4 linked regions of the Arabidopsis thaliana genome follow. The protein of the gene in region 1 interacts with the protein of each later gene in a pairwise test. Each region holds a gene or a part of one and is shown on either strand. Other genes may lie near its edges. The genes, in order: PCNA1, POLH, ATXR6 and ATXR5.

Region 1 (3,793 bases):
GTAAAGGGTTTTGATGCTTTCATCGTCTGGCGATTCCAAAGTGCCCATCTCACCAGCTTTGCCAAGCAACTTCATAGCAACTGGATCATTAACACTGAAAACGTGTAAAAGAAAATGAGAAACAGTTAAAACAAACTCTTCAACAAGAATAAATGCAAAAGTACTAATACATTACAAAGAGAACTAAAACTGGAAACGACACTATGTAACAAGACTACATGAGAGCCAACATAGCATAGTTCAGTCCAAGAATTCACATATCAGAAGCTTTCAAATATCGAGTATATTATGAATGATCAAGGAGAAAATAGTACTATGGCAGAAACATATGAAATTTTACACTCCTTAGGGGAGGTATCGAAACAACCAATAAAGAACGGAACTAAACGTCAACAAAGTCAAACATACAGAAGAAAAAAGCTTACCCATAATAACGGTCTTTTATGTTTTGCTGGGATAGCTCTCCTGTTTCGGGCATCTCATGCCGGTATGGACATTCAGCACCTCTTGTACACTCACCCCTGATGAAGAAACTACAAACATGTGCTCGGTTCCTCTTATAGTACGGTGTTGTTCTTTGAAGCTTTAAAATAGTATCATTGGGTCGCATCTTCCCGAATGAAGATTCATAATCCAGTCCAGCTCTAGCCTACATAACAGAAAAAGCAAAATCACTTAGATAAGCCACCATGAGAAAGCTAGAGTAAGTCTTCAAAATTCTCAAACCAACAAATGCTGAAATAAAATCGTGAGTGTGAACATGATCATACCTTCCTGTCATGCTCTTCAGCAAAATACTCTCTGTTGACATCACTTTTAGGGATAGAGTCATGAGTACTAATGTTGAGTGCTGTGTCTCTTACTTGAACTGGAAGACCATACTCAAGATCCAGAAGACAGACTTGACAAACATTTTTCAACTTGCAGCAAGTCTGACAAATTTCGGTTTTCTTGTATCTAGCATCCCGGCCAGGTCGCCACCTAAACACCGTGAAAGGTCGTGTACATATCTTGCATTCCTTATCATAATTCGCTTTGGTCTACATATCAACAGATAAAACGTCAATCAGAAATCAAAACATCGAGATTTTCAGAAAACAAAATTGCAGCTGAAAGCTAAGAGAATCCGCAGCTGTAATCAAATCCAACTATAACTAAACGAATTTGGATGTAAAACCCAATTTTTCGATGAATTTGATAACAAGCTAAACCCTAAAACCATATTTACTAAGTTAACCACTCCAATATACAGAAAACATCAACGAGCAAGAGACTGGTTAAGAGATGAGATCCGGAAATAAGATTCAGGAGCCATTGAAACAAAACAAGCAATAGCAAAATCCAAGAATGTTTGAGAGAAGGAATCGAGAAATCACCATTCGCACGTAGGGGTTGTCACCGAGACAAGATTCGCAGATGATTGGGAAATCGGAGCGTTCCCATCCATCGGCTTCATGATCTCTCAGTATTCTGTGAGCCATTCTCTTATCCTCTGATTCGATTAGTCGATATCAAATCTCGAACACGAAGGAGACGACGAGATTTTAACTAGGGCAAAGTCGGTTTTGGATTCGCGTGTTTTTGTCTTTTAAATATTACAAATAAAACCCTAAACTTTCACTACAATTCGAAATGAACTTTTCTTCTTTTTATTAATACAAATTAACCCTCTAACTTTTATAATGACCAAAAATATCCATCCAATTCTTAAAACGATTGAGGCCGGCACTAGCGCATTGGCGGGAACCAAATAGCTTAGAATGGCGAAATCCCGCCAGAAAAGAAAAAGCTTATAAATCGGACTCCTTGACCTTATAGTGTCAATCCACTTTCCAAAATAGCCGCAAACGATTCTCATTGTGAACTCTGATAATATCTAAGACGACGAAATGTTGGAGCTACGTCTTGTTCAGGGCTCGTTGTTGAAGAAGGTTCTAGAATCAATCAAAGATCTGGTGAACGATGCGAATTTCGACTGCTCCAGCACTGGGTTCTCACTCCAAGCTATGGATTCGAGTCACGTTGCTCTGGTGTCTCTCTTGCTAAGATCCGAAGGCTTCGAACACTACAGATGCGACAGGAATCTCTCCATGGGGATGAATCTCGGCAACATGTCGAAGATGCTCAAATGCGCCGGAAATGATGACATCATCACCATCAAGGCTGATGACGGCGGCGACACCGTTACCTTCATGTTTGAGAGCCCCAGTAAGTTTATTTGCTAATTGACTGACTTACTCTAATTTCTGGTTTCTATGGGTTAAGCTTGTACGAAATGGTGGAATGATTGATGGAATAGAATGATTTAGTTCTCTTAGGGGTTGTATATAGTTTCAAGTTTCAAAAACTTGGTTTAGACCTAGCTGCTTTTAACTTGGTTTTGTGTTGGATGATTTACAGCGCAAGACAAGATTGCTGATTTTGAGATGAAGTTGATGGATATAGACAGTGAACATCTGGGAATACCTGATGCTGAGTACCACTCAATCGTGAGGATGCCTTCCAATGAGTTTTCCAGGATTTGCAAAGATCTCAGTAGCATTGGTGACACAGGTACATTGCTGCATTGTTTCTATTCTCAATCTGGGTTGTTTTTTTTAGTCTAAATAGAGATTGACCTGATGTTATTGTTGCAGTTGTGATCTCTGTGACTAAAGAAGGCGTGAAGTTTTCTACTGCCGGTGACATTGGAACCGCTAACATTGTGCTCAGGCAGAACACAACTGTAGACAAGGTATTAACATGTCTAACTCTTTGCATAAACCTATGATACTGTTGACAAATCCTCTACGGCTGTTTCATTGGAGTAACATGTTAAATTGAGGCTTTTGTTTTGTGTATTGCAGCCGGAAGATGCAATTGTGATAGAGATGAAGGAGCCAGTGTCTCTCTCATTTGCCCTGAGGTACATGAATTCCTTCACAAAGGCAACTCCATTGTCAGACACAGTGACAATCAGCTTATCGTCGGAGTTGCCAGTGGTTGTGGAGTATAAGGTTGCTGAGATGGGTTACATTCGTTACTACTTGGCTCCTAAGATTGAAGAAGAAGAAGACACTAATCCCTAAGACCCCTTTTATATCCACAATTTCTCTTCATTCTAAAATGTTGAAGATTTATTGACAATGTTGGTGTTTTTTTTTGGTGAGATTCCTTTGTATCCCCCCTCTAGAATCAGTTGTTTTCTTGACTTATTATGTTTTATGATAACAAAGTTCAGCAAAATTAGTTGTCTTGAAACTATGACCATTCATCAACAAACTAACTCCACTTTGCAAGATAATTTATACACTAACACAACCGTAGTTGCCTATACCTGGATACTTAAACTGTATGTGAACATTGACATGAAAAGGTATATTGGATTCCATTAGACTTCTCAACATCAGTTCTTTGACACCATTCTGTACTCTCTGGCTACATTTGTGTAGTACATGCAAGTGCACAAGACAGTGCATCAGGTAAACCTAGTATAATACAAGTTTACTATGTATCTACTTTGGTTTCTACTTGTTTATGTTACAACGAAAGCACTAGAAGAGCCTGTGAAATGATGGACTGACCCAAAAAGCTTCTTTGCAGCACCAAAATGGGTGATCCTATAAACCCCTGGTGATGCAGACTCGGGAATTCTCCATTCCACAGTGGCCTGACTCCGGGAGCTCAGCTTTTTATGCCTCGACCACTTGAACCTCAGACATAGATCATCGTCGTCATAAACCGGGGTCCAAGTCTTGTCCTTCTGCTCTAGTCTCTCCACCAGTGTAAACGTCCCTGTCATGAACATAGTATC
Region 2 (6,584 bases), on another chromosome or scaffold:
TGGCATGACAGTGGCCTGCAGTATTGTCCTAACCCCAAAAACGGTTTCAGGTTTTCGAATTTTGTGTTTTCTTTTTTACCGTTTTTACGCTCAAAATGAAGTAAAAATGTTTTGATAGCAAACAAACTTATGGTAGTTCAACCTTACCAAAAAAAAAAATCCTCCTTACCAAAAAAAAAACTTATGTTAGGTCAATTAATATTAGAGAATTCTATTCTAGAAAGTAGGATGAAAAATAAGTTAGTTAAGAAAAAAGTCATATTTAGGCGAAGTTGTAATTAACATTTCGATTGATTTGACTTTTGAAAATAAAATGTAATCGTTTGATATAGAATTGATCCAAAAAGAACTCATACTAGAGAAACTAGAGCAATTAGGTAGGATGTTTGAATATTTCATGAGATTCCGTGGTTGAGCAAAGATATACAAACTTCTGATAAACCTTCTATCACTTCTTCACATGTTTACCAAAAAAAAAAAAAAACCCTTCTATCACTGTGCATACCATAAAAAACAAGAGGTCTCGATGGATTTTAAAGACGATATATATATATTTAGTTTTTCTATTGCTCAAAAATGACATTTTTAATAGGATTTAAGCATAATATATCTGTAGTACTCAAGATACAAGACCAAATCTAAGGTAGACAAGGACTACACTATATACAGTCAACAACAGAGACAAAGGAGCTTAGATCTATCTATTCAATGGTGGAAAATAATGAGCAATGCTTGAAGTAGAACCATCACCTTTGCTTTTACCGGTGTTAAACTGCTTATTGGTGCGTAGGAAACTCCTGAGTTCTCGTTGAATCTCAACCGGTAATTCATCGAAAACTGACTGATCGATTTCATCAGTCTTATATCCCCAATCTGTTTCTCTACTCTCTTCTACCTCTTGATTCACTTGACTATTATGGCTGCTGCTACTTAACTTTGCTCTTTTACTGGCTGATGACACTGTGGAATCTTCTTGAGTCTCTTGTTTTGATGGAGGTGTTGCATTGTAATTCTTAAAGATATCGACAATTGAAGGCATTCCCTGAGAACAAACAAGCAAACAAATCTCAGTAAAGGTAGAAGCTTTTCGTGCACCAAACAAAGCAATATATTGCGTACCCGATTCTTTTCTTTCGAGTTGTTCATCTTCCGCCCAATTTTCTTTGTCTGTGTGCCTTTGTTTGATTCTGATTGGGTAGAAACATCCGTTGCTTCGTTTGATGGACAAGAGACAACATCCTGACAAGGAATGTGTGGAATTGGTTCTTCAAGGATACACAATTTAAGAACATATATATAAGCTCTTGAGTCATTCAAACACTACAGGGCCTAACCAATCACTTCGTTACCAGTTATAATTACTAAAGAAGCTCCTTTGAAAGTTGAAACTGAGAACGTAATTGAGCCTAAATATGTTTAGCCTTTTTGCTAGATCACACCTCTAAGAAAGGCCTAAAATATGCTTTAGAGTAAAGGGAAATGAGAGCTGATACCTTTTCGGAGACTAGATCAATGTCTTTATCTTGGTTTTCAAAATTAGGCAAAGTATAAGTTACACCGGTGTCTACTTCAGGCATTGCTGCTTGAGTTTCTGTTGACCTCTGTTCTGAACATCCTTCGCTAGCTGCACCAGTTGCAGATTAGATCACGACATTAAGTACCAGAATCAAGAGAAGTAGAAAGTTCTGAAAATATACAGAAATACTCTAGAATACCTGAAGCAGTCATCGCTACATTTCCTTGAACACAACCATCTGCTGAACGAGAAGGAACAGTAGGTTGACTTTGAAAATATCTCATGATCGAGCTTGTTCCCTACAGTAATAAGATATCACTCCTACCAAATCAGTGAAGAAACCAACCAATGTTTGAAAGAGATAAGTAAGTAGAAGACATTTAATGGCTCTAAGAACTTACAGATGGTATATCAACAATTTTACTCGCTGAAACAGAAAGACCTGTTATCCTCCATGTCTCTAGCTTATTTCCTTGAGGTTTGATCCCGAAGGATCCCATGTACTCACGTAAGGCAGCTTGGAACAAGTTAAAGGCATCTTCTTGGATCTTGGTTACTCCATATCTCATAGGACATGATTTTGAAGGAAATTTCTTATGAGAATCTGAATCCTTTGACTGCAATATTTTTCAGGAAAAATATGTTTTAAGTCGTAGTCTTCGCAGAGAAAAATGATATATAACAAGAGAAGTAGGTACTCTGAAAGCGCTAGCATGAAGGGTAAGGGTGCTTGCAATCCGCTTATTCTGCTCCAAGTCAGAACCGAGGCGCTCGCTTAGTTCCTCGGAAAGCTGATTCAGCCAATGCTGAACCTAGAAATATAAGAGAACACAACACTTATTCTAAAAACTAGTTCTATGATATGATTGAAGATAAAAAGGGGATACTTTTGCTACTATTTTTCCAAAACGTTTCACCTCTATAAGCACTTTCAGTTATGACCTATCAACTAGAGCAACTGATAGCAAAGGGAAAAGAAGTGCATTGTTGAGATTCTACTCTTACAGTTGAGAGTGACTTCAAAGCACGAGGTCCGGGAAATGTCTTTCCAGAACCATGACTTTTGGGGAGAAGGCGACCTTGCACTTCTTCTCCACTGATCCCTCTTGCTATATTCCATAACCAAGTACTACAAGTCGGGGGAAAAATCAGAAAAACGTATTAATAGACAAACAAGCACGAGTTGCATGTCTTTAAATTTCTATTATCAAGCAAATAAGCAACTATTGGGAATTTAGTATGCTAGAAGGTACTAATCAAATAATGAACAATCTACAATAGCCTACGAGTCCAGGACAACAAAAATTCTATCTTTTCCAAAGCTATTACCCAGTATTTACTCCGTAATGTTCTTGTAGCTTCGTTTCAGAAAATTGCAGCAAGTCCCCTACTGTGTCAACTCCCAAGTCAGTTTGCAAGCTAGTGCCCAGCTTTCCTCCCAGTTGTTTCCTGCACGTTATGTCTAATTAGAGCTCAATGATTACCAGCACTAACTGAAAATTTTATGATCCTGGGACAGCGATAAAAGATGCAATACACAACTTTGGACTGTCTTACATCTTATAAAACACAGCTGTGTTGATACTGACGCAAATATTTAAGTGTATTCCGTAGAATGTGACAAATACTAAAAGTTCTCCTACGAAAATATGTGTTGTGATCAATACACTATTGAAACTTACTTACATTTTCTTTATTGGCAAGGAACTTAGTAATTCCTGTACAGCTGCATATGGTACAACTGTCTGCTGCGCAGGTTTGTTCATTCCACTAGCAAGTTTGGCTAGCATCTGCTTGTTGAAGTTATATGTTATTACTCGCCATACAAGCGATAAAAGGAAAACAAAATAAAATAGCTTCTTGCCTTGTTATGGGCTATGCCAGCAGAACAAGTAAACTCAGTCTCCTTAAGCACCTGTTTCCGGAGTTCTGCAACAATGATAATTCCACAACTTAATAACTTATCACGTCGATCAGCATCTTCTCGACAAATCCAATTGCGGACACTCTCCTTGAAATCATCTCCATCCTGAAAGTAAAATAAATAAATTCAGATCATAATATTGACTATCGACTATACTTTTGTTGGAGACTAAAAGACACCAAAACAGACCTCTCTGTTCATTCCAAGAATATGGGATTTAAGAACTTCCTCATCTATCAATTCCAAACTCTCTGGAGGTGCATCAGCAAGCATGCTTTCTGCTGCATCAGTGAGGTCAAGATACACTTCATCAATCGAAGCCCTCTCACATTTTCCGCTTTTTGCTAGAATCGAAACCACCTGCAGCGACAACACATAGAATGAGATGAATTTAGCAAATGTCATTGTTTAGACAAACACAAACAGTATAATAATAACTTCCACTTCCATCAACCTCAGAACCGGCACTGCGATATAAATTAAGGTCAGCTTTACCACGAGCCACAGGAACTTGAACCAATTGAATCTGAGGACAAGCAGCTTTAGCCTCATCACCTCTCATCGACCTGAACATTAACCCAAAACACAATTTTTCCCTATCCTCAAAAGATTGATACAATTGGGGGAAAGAAGCATTTCTGTAATTACACACTAACCGCTTTACGCCACATTTACGTGCTTCGTAACTAACAGCAATCAAACCACCACCTTGCCATTCATTGTACTGTACAACTGCACTAGGCAGTCCTCGCAACTCCGGTTGCTTCCTCTGCTCCACTAATCACTCACTCATAAAAAAATCCCTTAACCAGGTAAGTAAAGGAGACATTTTGATAAAATAGAAACAAAAAAGCACACTTTTTGGTATTTGGTAATTTCCCAAATCCCTAAAACAAACGCCAACGAGAAAAAAAAAGAAAAGAAACCGTTATTAAAATTCGATTGAAACCCAAAATTCCAACAAAGCTAAAAAGTTCAAAAAAAGTGTTAAAAAGCTTTGCTTTCTCTCACTAAAGCGTCTAGTGGCTGAATACAATTCGGGTTAGAGAGAGAAGGACCTTGAACGTAGAAGCAATCCATGTCGACATGAGCGATAACTCTAGCATCCGATGCTTCCGGTCTCGCTACCGGCATTTCTATTTCAGAAATCTCCGCAGAAATCAGAGGGAGAGAGAGAGAGAGAGAGAGAGTTTTTACCACCGAAAGAGGGGTTTCTTGGGGATGATGACTGATGAATAGCGCGCGAAAATAATAATTAGGAGAAAAAGCGAGACAGATTAATAAAATGAGAAAGTTTCAAAACGAACCCTCAAAGAAACTAAACTTTGCAAAATAACCCGTTTAGAACACAAGTAATTTGACAACAAAACATGAAATTCATTGTAATGATCTCAAACCCTAAATATTTCTCCAAATTTGCCGTGTCAAATTATTTGTAAAAATAGGTTGAAGATTGACATTGTTGTTTTTAGAGATTTAGTGTGGTAACAAAATTATGGACATCAAGCTGCATCTTTCGAATTATGGTTGATCGTTCGGTAGATAAACAAAAAGTATAGATAAAATATTTAATATTTATTCATTACATAAAATTTTTATTGAGTTTATTTTTATTTATATAAAACAATCATAAAAATAATATGGGTCATGTTTTTTTCATCCATTACTATTTGTTCACTACTATTATTAATTTCACTATTATTGTGAAATGTCGATTTTTATTGCTCATTAAATTTGGCTAGATAATCTTCACTAACTAAAGATTTGGATTCAAGAAAAACAATTTTCTCTCAATTATGTTTATGATTACAAAAATAAAATAAAAAAATTAGGTATTAAATTATAACTGTAAAAATTAAAACTTATGGGGATTTTTGGAAGTATATACAAGTTTAAGTACTAATCTGAAAATGTTTGTGTTTTAGTATATAAACCACTCACAGGTTGTGACTTTACAAATTGGAAAATTTCGTTGAATGCTTCTTCTTCTCCGTCTCGTTGAGATTCCTCCCCAACAACAACAATGAAGCGTAGCTTGGGTTCAAATTCTTCAAACAATAGTGGCAGTGGAAGTAACAAGAAGTCTAAGAAGAATAATAATCCGAGCAATCAGAAAACCCTAGGCGCGGCATGGGGCGCTGCTTCTTCTCGTTCTTCTTTCCGGTCTTCTCCTTTCTCCGATTTCGGAAGGTCTTTCTATCATTCTCTGCCATTTTAGTGTTGGGTAGTGGTTAGATTTTGAAATTCCCATGTAAAAGTTGAAACTTTCCCTCTGAAAAGTGATGTTCTGAGAAAGATTGAATTTTGGAAATTTTATGAAGTTAGAATGAAGTAAGATGCGTTAAGCATTGTTATACTATCGTGGTTGTTGATTATTTTTTTTATGTTTTTGATGTTAGTTACATGGAAGTGAAAAATAGGAAACTTCAGAACCAATTTGAGACTGAGGCTTCTGCTGCTTCTCGTGGTGTTTCGGGTTCTGAGAAACTTATTTTCCAAGGGGTTTCAATCTTTGTGGATGGGTTCACTATTCCTTCTCATCAGGTTTAAGCTCTATTGCTTTGGTTTCTACCCATTTTCAATTTTGTTGGTTTCTAGTTCTTTCCTGATTTGAAATGGCTTAACTCTTATATCGTACAAACTGTTGCAGGTGAATAAACCTTAGAATTTGTTGTAGTGCAGTTTTGCTGGTGGGTTATATGTGATTTAACAGTGTCTAGATCTGTGTAGGAGTTGAAAGGATACATGATGAAGTATGGTGGAAGATTTGAGAACTACTTTTCTAGGCGTTCTGTTACACATATCATTTGCAGCAACCTTCCAGATAGTAAAGTCAAGAATCTTAGGTTAGTTGTTTCTTTAAAATTCTTCGCTAATTTCTTGCAAGTTCGTGTCTTATAATGGATTTTTGTTTCCAATCAGGACATTCAGCAGAGGATTACCTGTTGTGAAACCTACATGGATAGTGGACTCTATCTCTGCCAACAGACTTCTGGGCTGTAAGTCTATACAAGATGATTTAGTTTCAGTTAAATCATGTAGACATAAGTATAAATGTTTGGATTTGATCATTGTCTACTGTCAACTTCGTATGCATTCATTTATCTTGCACACAATCTATTTAATCATCTGATTCAATGCCAT
Region 3 (4,162 bases), on another chromosome or scaffold:
AAGTTTGGTCCTATATTAACTTGTTTTGAGGCGTATGTTAAGAGATCCAAGGTTTATCTATGCTTCCTACGTCAAATTGATACTTAGTAATCAATTTTAATATGATATGTCCGCTCCCGTAGCCAAATTTATAATATCCTGATGGAGAGCTAAAAGATGAAAGATAAAATGTTCAATAAATCAATGTCGAGATATTTATCAAATTGTCTCTTAGGTATGTACGATGCATTAAAATTGAATAAATTTGTTGGAGAATGCAAAAAAAGATGAAAAATGGTAAGTGTGGGATCCAAAAGGAAGTTTATGTCCCACAGTGATCTGAAGGAATCACAAAGGAATGGTTTTTTTGATGCAAACTCTCATAGTCGCTTGAAGGTACTGTCAGACTCCTTTAGTCTTTAGGCTCTTTGGACCATTCTATTTCATTCATTATTCCTACTCTCTCTTTTCCTTACCAACAATCTTTATTTTCTTCAATTCAATTCCCATTTCTAGTGTATTTTTTACAAATAGAACATCAATTATTCCGACAAGGCTTCACATTTTGATCCAACTTGAAGTAAGGCTTTGGTTCATGGTCTAAAAGCCCAGTTAAAGCATTAGGAAGGACAAAAAACACTTTTAGGTTGTTTCTTGATGAACAAGCAACCTTTTTAATAGGTTGACCTTTCTTACGAAATTCACAGGGTTATACAAAATGTTCAGTTGGATACTCATGTTCATATCCGTTGTAATCATAATACAATCTTTCCCCTTTCGATATGTCTCTATTAGCTACGAGAAGAACCCTAGCTTCTCCGTTGATGTTGAACCTCACACACTTCAGGTTCTGCTTCTTCCTCCCTTCTCTGCAATTCACAAAATGTCAACAAATACACAATGAGGACAAGCAATACTAGAATGGTTCCAACTAATTCAGAAGCAGGACCAAAACATGGAGCTCAGGTGTTGTGACCAGAGAGTCGACTTTAAGGAACCAAATAGAAGAGAAGAGAAACTCACGGTGAGTGATTGTTGATGCCACTGATGAACCGGGCGATGTTACTGCGTCTGTCAGGGCAAATTACGAGACATTGCGAAGGATCAGAGGCATGAAGTAGAGTCATCATACTGTCTCCATCATAGTCATCTTCTCTATTGCTCAGATAATCAACATCTCCAACATACTCTGTGATAATTGTCCAGTCTTTTATAAACCTGTCCGCCTCTACTGTGAACCTGTTCAGATAGAAAAAATTAGACTTCAATATAATTATACATTGATAAATGCATTTTCCTACTCTCTTCTTGGTTATAAAGGTCAAAAGAGAAGCTAATAAGAATGTTAAGTACCCTTCATAAGGATCGAAGACGACCATAAGTGGCGGGCATTCACCGAGGTCCATCATTTTCTTGCACAAGGCTAAGGTCTCTACGCCTTCTTTAGATAGAACCTGTATGAAATTAAATACAAAATCAACTTTTCTGTTGATACTTAACCCAACAATGAATGCTTTCAAGAAACCTAAGAATCACCAAACCAATCATATAGATGTGACTGAAGAACAAGAGCAATACATATCAACTTAAGATAGATACCTGCATGCCTCCTTTCTCAAAAGCAGCTTGGTTTGCAGATCTTGGAGCCTTTCCAGATACATAAGTAAGCTCATTGCTGAACTTGGTGTTGGAAGCTCTCAACGCAGTGGCCAGAGACGCCATTTGCTCTAGCCTCCTTTGAGGATCATTGCTAGGATTGTATGGAAGAAGCCTTCTCTTCTTCTTTGACATCACCAAGCTAGTCTTTTTCCGTTTCTTCCCAATACTATCTGCAAACATTTCACTATTCAGATTAATATTTCTAGGGATTTAGATTTCTAATCTGCAAAATTACATACCTGAAGAACTTGAGATTTGAGATGAATCTGGAGACCGCTTAATCCGGAAGAAATCTATAATTTTAGTCTGAATAAGAGGGAAAGCTGCAGATTTACAAAACTTTTCATTAGTAATTCAGCAACAGTGTAATCCAAAACCTGATCTAGTAGTGTTAAATCTGAATCAAATTCGCAAAATCAAATCAAAGACAGAGATCAAGAAACCCAGAAGAATCCTAAAATCTAAAGCTCAACAATAAACATATCCTAATCAAAAGAAGGAAGCTTTGAAATTAGAGTCATGTGGGTATAGTGAAAAAGCTTACATTTAGGGATCTGATGTTTGGAACAAGAAGGGCAGAACCAAGAGCCTTTGGGAACTGAAACGAGGATCGGTCTGAGACAGAAAAGATGAAACCCTTTATCGCATTTGTCGCAAAGAAGCAGCTTTGCTGGTTGTTTACCGGAACTGCATTCTTCGCAGACTGTATCCCAATCGGAATCGGAATCATGATCCGACATGTGTTGCGGTGGTTCGGATCTAGGGTTTGACGCTTGTGTTCTCCTTCGCCTCACAGCCACCATTCTTACACTTATTGATTTACCAGAGAAAGAGAGAGAGTGAGAGATTATAAATGTGAGATCTAGCCGAGGTTGAGTAGAAGAGTTCGCGCTCTGGATTCACCGGATTTTCCCGGGGAATTTTAATTTGGCGCCACTGTTACGGTTTCCCGATTTGCAGACTGGTTTATTTTGGTTTTATCTAACCGATTTTGAGAAATTAGGATTAGATCGGTTCATATATTTTGGTTGTTCGGTTCGGTTCAATTTGATTATCCCACCGGACAAACCAAAACCGACATAAGACTCTCCTTCAATGTAACTTTCAACTAAATTGATTTTGCTCTTTGAACGATGGAGACCAATCTAAAGATCTATCTAGTTTCATCCACCGACTCGTCCGAGTTCACTCACCTGAAATGGTCTTTCACTCGTTCTACGATCATCGCCTTAGACGCCGAATGGAAGCCACAACACTCCAATACGTCGTCGTTTCCGACCGTCACTCTCCTCCAAGTCGCATGCCGACTCAGTCACGCCACGGATGTCTCCGATGTCTTCCTCATTGATTTGAGTTCGATTCATCTTCCATCGGTTTGGGAGCTGTTGAATGATATGTTCGTGTCGCCGGATGTTCTGAAACTAGGGTTTCGGTTTAAACAGGATTTGGTTTACTTGTCTTCGACATTTACTCAACATGGATGTGAAGGTGGATTCCAAGAGGTGATTTGCTTTTGAAAGTCTTGAACTTTGCTTCGTAGTGTTAGTTTAAGCTAATTGTAGTCGAATTCTTATCAAAGTTTTAACCTTTAGCTCTGTTATATTCTCTTGTACTTAAAGTTCTTGTGTTTGGATCACGTGTGGTGTTTATAGATAGGTAAGTATTGATTTGTGTGTTTATTGACTTCTGTTGAAAGTAGATTGTTGAATTGTGTTTTTCTTTTATTTGCCTTTTTAGGTTATGTTGCTTTAAAACTCTATGTTTGTGATTGTTGATGTGAATAGGTGAAACAATACTTGGATATTACAAGCATATACAATTATCTGCAACATAAGCGGTTTGGGAGAAAGGCGCCAAAGGATATCAAGAGCTTGGCTGCTATATGTAAGGAAATGCTGGACATCTCTCTCTCAAAGGTTTGTCAATGATTCCTGCAAGAATTTGACTTTTCGTGAAACGTACTGTTAATAAGGCTTTTCTTAACAGGTTTTTATTCTTTAGGAACTTCAATGTAGTGATTGGTCATATCGTCCTCTTACAGAAGAACAGAAACTATACGCTGCCACAGATGCTCACTGCCTGCTCCAGATATTCGATGTATTTGAGGCGCATCTTGTTGAAGGAATCACAGTGCAAGATCTTAGAGTGATAAATGTTGGCTTACAAGAAATTCTGACTGAATCGGACTATAGCAGTAAGATTGTCACAGTCAAACTTTGCAAGGCTACAGATGTAATCAGATCAATGTCGGAAAATGGTCAAAACATAGCCAATGGAGTGGTTCCAAGAAAAACGACACTAAACACGATGCCAATGGATGAGAATTTGTTGAAGATTGTCAGGAAGTTTGGAGAACGGATCCTGTTGAAGGAGTCTGATCTTCTACCAAAGAAACTTAAGAAGAAAACAAGAAGACGTGTCGCCTCAAGCACTATGAACACAAATAAGCAGTTGGTCTGTTCTGCGGACTGGCAAGGTCCACCGCCATGGGACTCATCTTTAGGCGGTGATGGCTGCCCTAAAT
Region 4 (4,537 bases), on another chromosome or scaffold:
AGAAAATCAGGGTTACTTGCCATCTCTCTCCTTTGAAATGTTCTGATTCAAGCTCTCACCTACAAGTTTTGCTCCTTCAACTTGCTCGTCTCTCTCACTCTCTATCTCCTCTCGTAATATTTTTCTCTCTGTCTTGTTGAGCCGTTGAATATGTAGCAAAGCACCACTTAAAATTTCAAAGATATGATTCAATCAAAGTGGTCAAAGTGAAAAAAGCTTTCCTCTCAATACTGAAACTGTAGTACAATTGTGACTTCATCCTTTTTGGATGTGTTCATTTAATTCATAGCATGCGATTATTATGCATAACAGATGAATCTCTTTTGGCGTTAATACATTTCGGTGACTGGAAATAAGAAGTACGACACTAGGCAAGTACTGTAATTATACTTTTCTGTTTAGGTAATGACTGTATTGGATTAGTTCTTCATTTTGATAAATTTATGAAGAAGAGTATAAAAGAAATTATAACTTATTTGGCAACCACTTAAGGTGGTGAAGTTGTCTCCAAGAACATATAAGAAAAAGGTTAGGATTTCATTTGATATCAAACAAAAGTTCAGCAATTGACATTTGCCACATCTTAATCTCTGTAATGTCATTCCAAATCCAATTATTCTACCGCTAACTTCATAATTAAAGGCCATATATTCAGCAGCCCTACATTTATAATTGACCTGTAATATGGCAACAAAAAGAACATCTGATCTAGAGACTCTGTAGAACTGTTAGAATTGAAAGATCAGAGGAAGTGATGAGTAGGATACTCATGTTCATAACCATTGTAGTCATAATAGAGCCTTTCCCCTTTCGATATATCGCGTGTAGCCACTAGAAGAACTCGACATTCGCCGTTTATGCTATACCTCACGCATTTGCAGTTCTGCTTCTTCTTAGCAACCCTGCAACAATCAGTGTGATGTGATGATTCAATGTTATAAACCAGTTTAGTGGGGGGAAAACAATTTTGAATTTGTTGCTTACGGATTGTGATTGTTAATGCCATTAATGAAGCGAGATATGTTTCCAAACTTGTCTGGACAGATAACAAGAGTCTTTGAAGGATCTTCTGATAAAAGGAGAGTCATGATGCTGTCACAATCGTCTTTTTCTCGGTTTTTCAAGTAATCAACATCCCCTGTATATTCAGCTATGAATGTTAAGTCCTTAATAGGACCATCTGCTTCAACTGTGTAACTGTACAAACGGAATAACCAAAGAACATGTTTACAACTCCACTTTGTCATTATGGGAAGGTTGATCGAAGGAATAGAGAGAGATACCCTTCAAGCGGATCAAATACCACAACGAGAGGAGGGCATTCTCCTCGTCTATACATAGATTGACATTGTTCCAATGTCTCTAAATCTTCTTTGCATAGCACCTGCGAAAAGTAAAAACCGAGATAAACAATCAAGGAAGTAACTTAAAATAAGAGAGTTATGGATAAATGGCTGAAAGATTGTTTTTGTTTATTACCTGCATCCCACCTTTCTCTAACTTGGATTGATTTGCAGACCGAGGAGCCATTCCGGGAACATAATTTAAACCATCGCTGTATTTGATACCCAATGCCGTTAATGCAGAAGCAAGTGTTCCCATTTGTGCAAGCCTCTGATCAGGATCTTCTGATGGAACCAAAGGTAAGAGTTTTCTCCTTCTTTTCTTCACTGTCAAAGAGCAAGATCGTCTCCGCTTTCTAGTTTCTTCTTCAAAACAAAGAAATCTCAATCTCAAACACTTGTTATTAGTTTAATCCTGAAGCATCTATGATCTATGTATATGATATGTATAAGTTCTCATCAATGCTTATTAACCCTACATAAGGTGCAACAAAATTTCAAGCATATAATAGGCCAAAGTTAAGCTATTTCATATTCATCTAACTATTTAATCAAGTGAAACATCTCGTCAGATTCATCAACTCAAGAACTTTATGATCATATCATGAAATCCAAAAACAAAAATCGCACCTTGACTCAATTCCAATTTGTCTGTTTGATGAGTATGCTTCTCAATCCGAAAGAAATGTAAAATCTTCTTCTGAGATAACCCTAAACATTTCACCGGACAAGAGAAAAATCCATTTTTTTATTAAACAAAGAACACAAGAAAATTAGGAAATTTAAAAGCGAAGAAACAAAAAATCCATACTTCTTACAGGTCGTTGGTCGGAACAATCGACACAAAGCCAAGTTCCAATGGGGACACGAACAACAATGGGTCTAAGGCATTTCATGTGAAAGCCTCTATCGCATTTGTCACAGAGAAGAAGCTCATCGTCTCCTTCTCCAGAACCACATTTCTCGCAGGTGACGTTACTGTAGCTGTCTTCGTCTTCTTCTTCTTCTTGTTCAACCACAGGGACAGATTTCGCCATTATCTCAGCCATTGATTTCATCTTCCTCGGTGGTGGAGATTCGGAGGAAGGGCGTCTCGCTGGAGCTTTCGTTCGTCGCCTCGATGAGCAAGGAGACGCCGCAGGGGAGGATGCGTTCCATGTGGCCATGACGGAAGCTCACGACGAAGAGTCGCCGGAGAACGGGATATATGATTTTGATTGGTTGGGGCTAATGTGCACCGCCGCGTGTGCGCACGAAAACTGATGTGCGCATCACCTGGAGTGTAATTTGGGATTCTTCCTTTGAGACTCTTCTTTATCGGCTCTTTTGTTTTTTTGACCTTTGACAAATTCAAAATTACTGGTATGTCTTAAAAGGTTTAAACATTGTAAGTGATACTAATAAATTTACAACCATTAAAGCCTTTTAATTGTTACTAAATTTCTTAACTAAATTTTACTTATTTAATTTACTAGGGATTGATATAAAAATTAATACAGTATTAACTATACTATACAAACGTAATTACAAAAATAGATATCTTTCAATTGAAAAAAAATATATGTTGGTGGGCTCAATACAAACACAGTAAACGTCAATTTCGTCAACTGAGCCACCCCAACGCCAAGCCCAACAGTCGGTCCGCCTCATTGGAGGCTCAAGTTCTTTATTTGACAAGCTAAACCAAAGTGTTCTGGTTTGACCAACAATGTAATATTACATAAATCTGAATCTATAAAATACAAAATTTAATAAATTATGTCTTATGGTTTAACATAATTTTCTGTTTCCGATTTAAGAATTTTTCGCCATATTGATTTTCATAATTTTATATACATATATAATATCTTTCAATTGTAAATTTTTATCTTATAATTTTATATATGAATAGTTTTCTCTATTTTTTTCAAGGTTTTTAATTAATAAGAAATTGCGGTGTTAGCGTTAATGAAATAGTTATGGTATAGACTATAAAGAATAATATACATAATTGGAACAAGTGAAATGGTTGTTTGATATATTCTTGACGATGAGAGCAAAACTTTCTTATCATATTTTCTGAACCGGGGTGTATGCTAGGTAATTTTGTGGCTAAGTCCTTTATTAAGGTTGTTGCACTTCTTCACAAGGATGAAAACTTAAGTCTTGCATCGGTGGATGCTTCAAGATATTCATATATGCTCGCCATGTAAGTTTTGCTTATACTAATACTGTTTAAGTCATAGTATTCCAAAAAAATCAAAGAAATAAGACTATTACTGGTCCATCACAATGGATTCCCTTCGAGAAGCCCGCATCGATCTTTCTATGCCTTATGAGTTTTGTCCCTATGAATATGAGGAATATGAAAAACATTCTTGACCTTGCTTCTACTACCGTTAAAGTATGATGTCTCTCTCTTCTCCATGTATCTTGTTACATTCATGCTTGACCAATTTGTTTGTGTTTCATTCATGACCAGTTTGCTTGTGTGTTGTAGATGATGCGTCATTGCTTCGATTATTGGCGTAGTAATGAATTTCCCTTGTTTAAAAACCTTGTTAAACTATCGTTTGAGTCTAAGACGAAAAAAGGTTGGAAAGTTCTTTGGACTCTGATAAAAAGCTCTCCCAATCTAGAAACTTTGATCCTCAAGGTTTGTATGTATAATATGATCTCTTTTTCTCTTTCTCAATTATAAATTTAATCTCGGAGTTTCACTTACTGTGTGTTCTTTTCTTTTCTATCCGTTGTTTCAGGGTTTTCAGTGTGTAAGTACTTGTGGGTATAGCATTGATGGAAATACGTTGAAGGTGTTGGAGTTATACGGGTGTAGAGGGAATCTTAGAGAAGTCGAACAAGTGAGGCTGTTCTGTCGGAAAGTGAATTTCTTCAAGTAATGAAAGTGGAAATTGGTACTAAGGTTGATGTTGACAAGAAATTGCAACTCACCAAAGACCTCCTTCCTTATCCTAACGTTCCTCCAAATGCCAAATCCACTTCTTGTAATCTTTTAAATCCAATTTTGTTTTTGACTGCTCAATCAATCAAGATTCAGTTTGTTTTAGATACAAAGACAACATCTCCCTTGATAGAGCATATTGATAGCTTTACTTTTAATACGATTTTGCCAAGTCCAAACATAAAATTCTGGTTTAGAGTATCAACATTGCAATGATACTAGTACTAAAGAACATTGCAATTTATTCTCAAAG

What was found.
Region 2: the proteins of PCNA1 (region 1) and POLH interact in a two-hybrid assay, tested with the Arabidopsis thaliana proteins (one study listed by BioGRID).
Region 3: the proteins of PCNA1 (region 1) and ATXR6 interact in a two-hybrid assay, tested with the Arabidopsis thaliana proteins (one study listed by BioGRID).
Region 4: the proteins of PCNA1 (region 1) and ATXR5 interact in a two-hybrid assay, tested with the Arabidopsis thaliana proteins (one study listed by BioGRID).

What each region holds. Positions count from the first base shown.
Region 1 is NC_003070.9:2,261,315-2,265,107, forward strand, and holds PCNA1 (proliferating cellular nuclear antigen 1), read left to right. Parts: upstream 1-1,722; 5' UTR 1,723-1,889; coding exon 1,890-2,208; intron 2,209-2,400; coding exon 2,401-2,553; intron 2,554-2,636; coding exon 2,637-2,734; intron 2,735-2,846; coding exon 2,847-3,068; 3' UTR 3,069-3,239; downstream 3,240-3,793. Other genes in the region: MAC5A (CCCH-type zinc fingerfamily protein with RNA-binding domain-containing protein), read right to left, coding at 1-94, 426-649, 771-1,040, 1,377-1,481; AT1G07380 (Neutral/alkaline non-lysosomal ceramidase), read right to left, coding at 3,515-3,774. UniProt on the Arabidopsis thaliana protein: This protein is an auxiliary protein of DNA polymerase delta and is involved in the control of eukaryotic DNA replication by increasing the polymerase's processibility during elongation of the leading strand.
Region 2 is NC_003076.8:18,047,206-18,053,789, forward strand, and holds POLH (Y-family DNA polymerase H), read right to left. Parts: upstream 4,692-6,584; 5' UTR 4,575-4,691; coding exon 4,499-4,574; exon of another isoform or gene 4,218-4,498; coding exon 4,097-4,217; intron 4,007-4,096; coding exon 3,895-4,006; intron 3,801-3,894; coding exon 3,630-3,800; intron 3,546-3,629; coding exon 3,381-3,545; intron 3,307-3,380; coding exon 3,203-3,306; intron 2,966-3,202; coding exon 2,846-2,965; intron 2,646-2,845; coding exon 2,522-2,645; intron 2,329-2,521; coding exon 2,215-2,328; intron 2,134-2,214; coding exon 1,918-2,133; intron 1,816-1,917; coding exon 1,716-1,815; intron 1,625-1,715; coding exon 1,494-1,624; intron 1,240-1,493; coding exon 1,120-1,239; intron 1,043-1,119; coding exon 698-1,042; 3' UTR 528-697; downstream 1-527. Other genes in the region: REV1 (DNA-directed DNA polymerase), read left to right, coding at 5,464-5,630, 5,840-5,984, 6,171-6,286, 6,363-6,439. UniProt on the Arabidopsis thaliana protein: Error-free DNA polymerase specifically involved in DNA repair. Plays an important role in translesion synthesis (TLS), where the normal high fidelity DNA polymerases cannot proceed and DNA synthesis stalls.
Region 3 is NC_003076.8:8,294,557-8,298,718, forward strand, and holds ATXR6 (TRITHORAX-RELATED PROTEIN 6), read right to left. Parts: upstream 2,604-4,162; 5' UTR 2,442-2,603; coding exon 2,183-2,441; intron 1,962-2,182; coding exon 1,878-1,961; intron 1,809-1,877; coding exon 1,579-1,808; intron 1,434-1,578; coding exon 1,333-1,433; intron 1,219-1,332; coding exon 1,003-1,218; intron 849-1,002; coding exon 689-848; 3' UTR 554-688; downstream 1-553. Other genes in the region: AT5G24340 (3'-5' exonuclease domain-containing protein), read left to right, coding at 2,772-3,140, 3,423-3,554, 3,640-4,162. UniProt on the Arabidopsis thaliana protein: Histone methyltransferase that specifically monomethylates 'Lys-27' of histone H3 (H3K27me1). Has higher activity on nucleosomes containing H3.1 than H3.3. Involved in the formation of constitutive heterochromatin and the silencing of heterochromatic elements.
Region 4 is NC_003076.8:3,038,462-3,042,998, forward strand, and holds ATXR5 (TRITHORAX-RELATED PROTEIN 5), read right to left. Parts: upstream 2,701-4,537; 5' UTR 2,510-2,700; coding exon 2,155-2,509; intron 2,055-2,154; coding exon 1,974-2,054; intron 1,710-1,973; coding exon 1,480-1,709; intron 1,385-1,479; coding exon 1,284-1,384; intron 1,198-1,283; coding exon 985-1,197; intron 903-984; coding exon 743-902; 3' UTR 519-742; downstream 1-518. Other genes in the region: AT5G09780 (Transcriptional factor B3 family protein), read right to left, coding at 1-23. UniProt on the Arabidopsis thaliana protein: Histone methyltransferase that specifically monomethylates 'Lys-27' of histone H3 (H3K27me1). Has much higher activity on nucleosomes containing H3.1 than H3.3.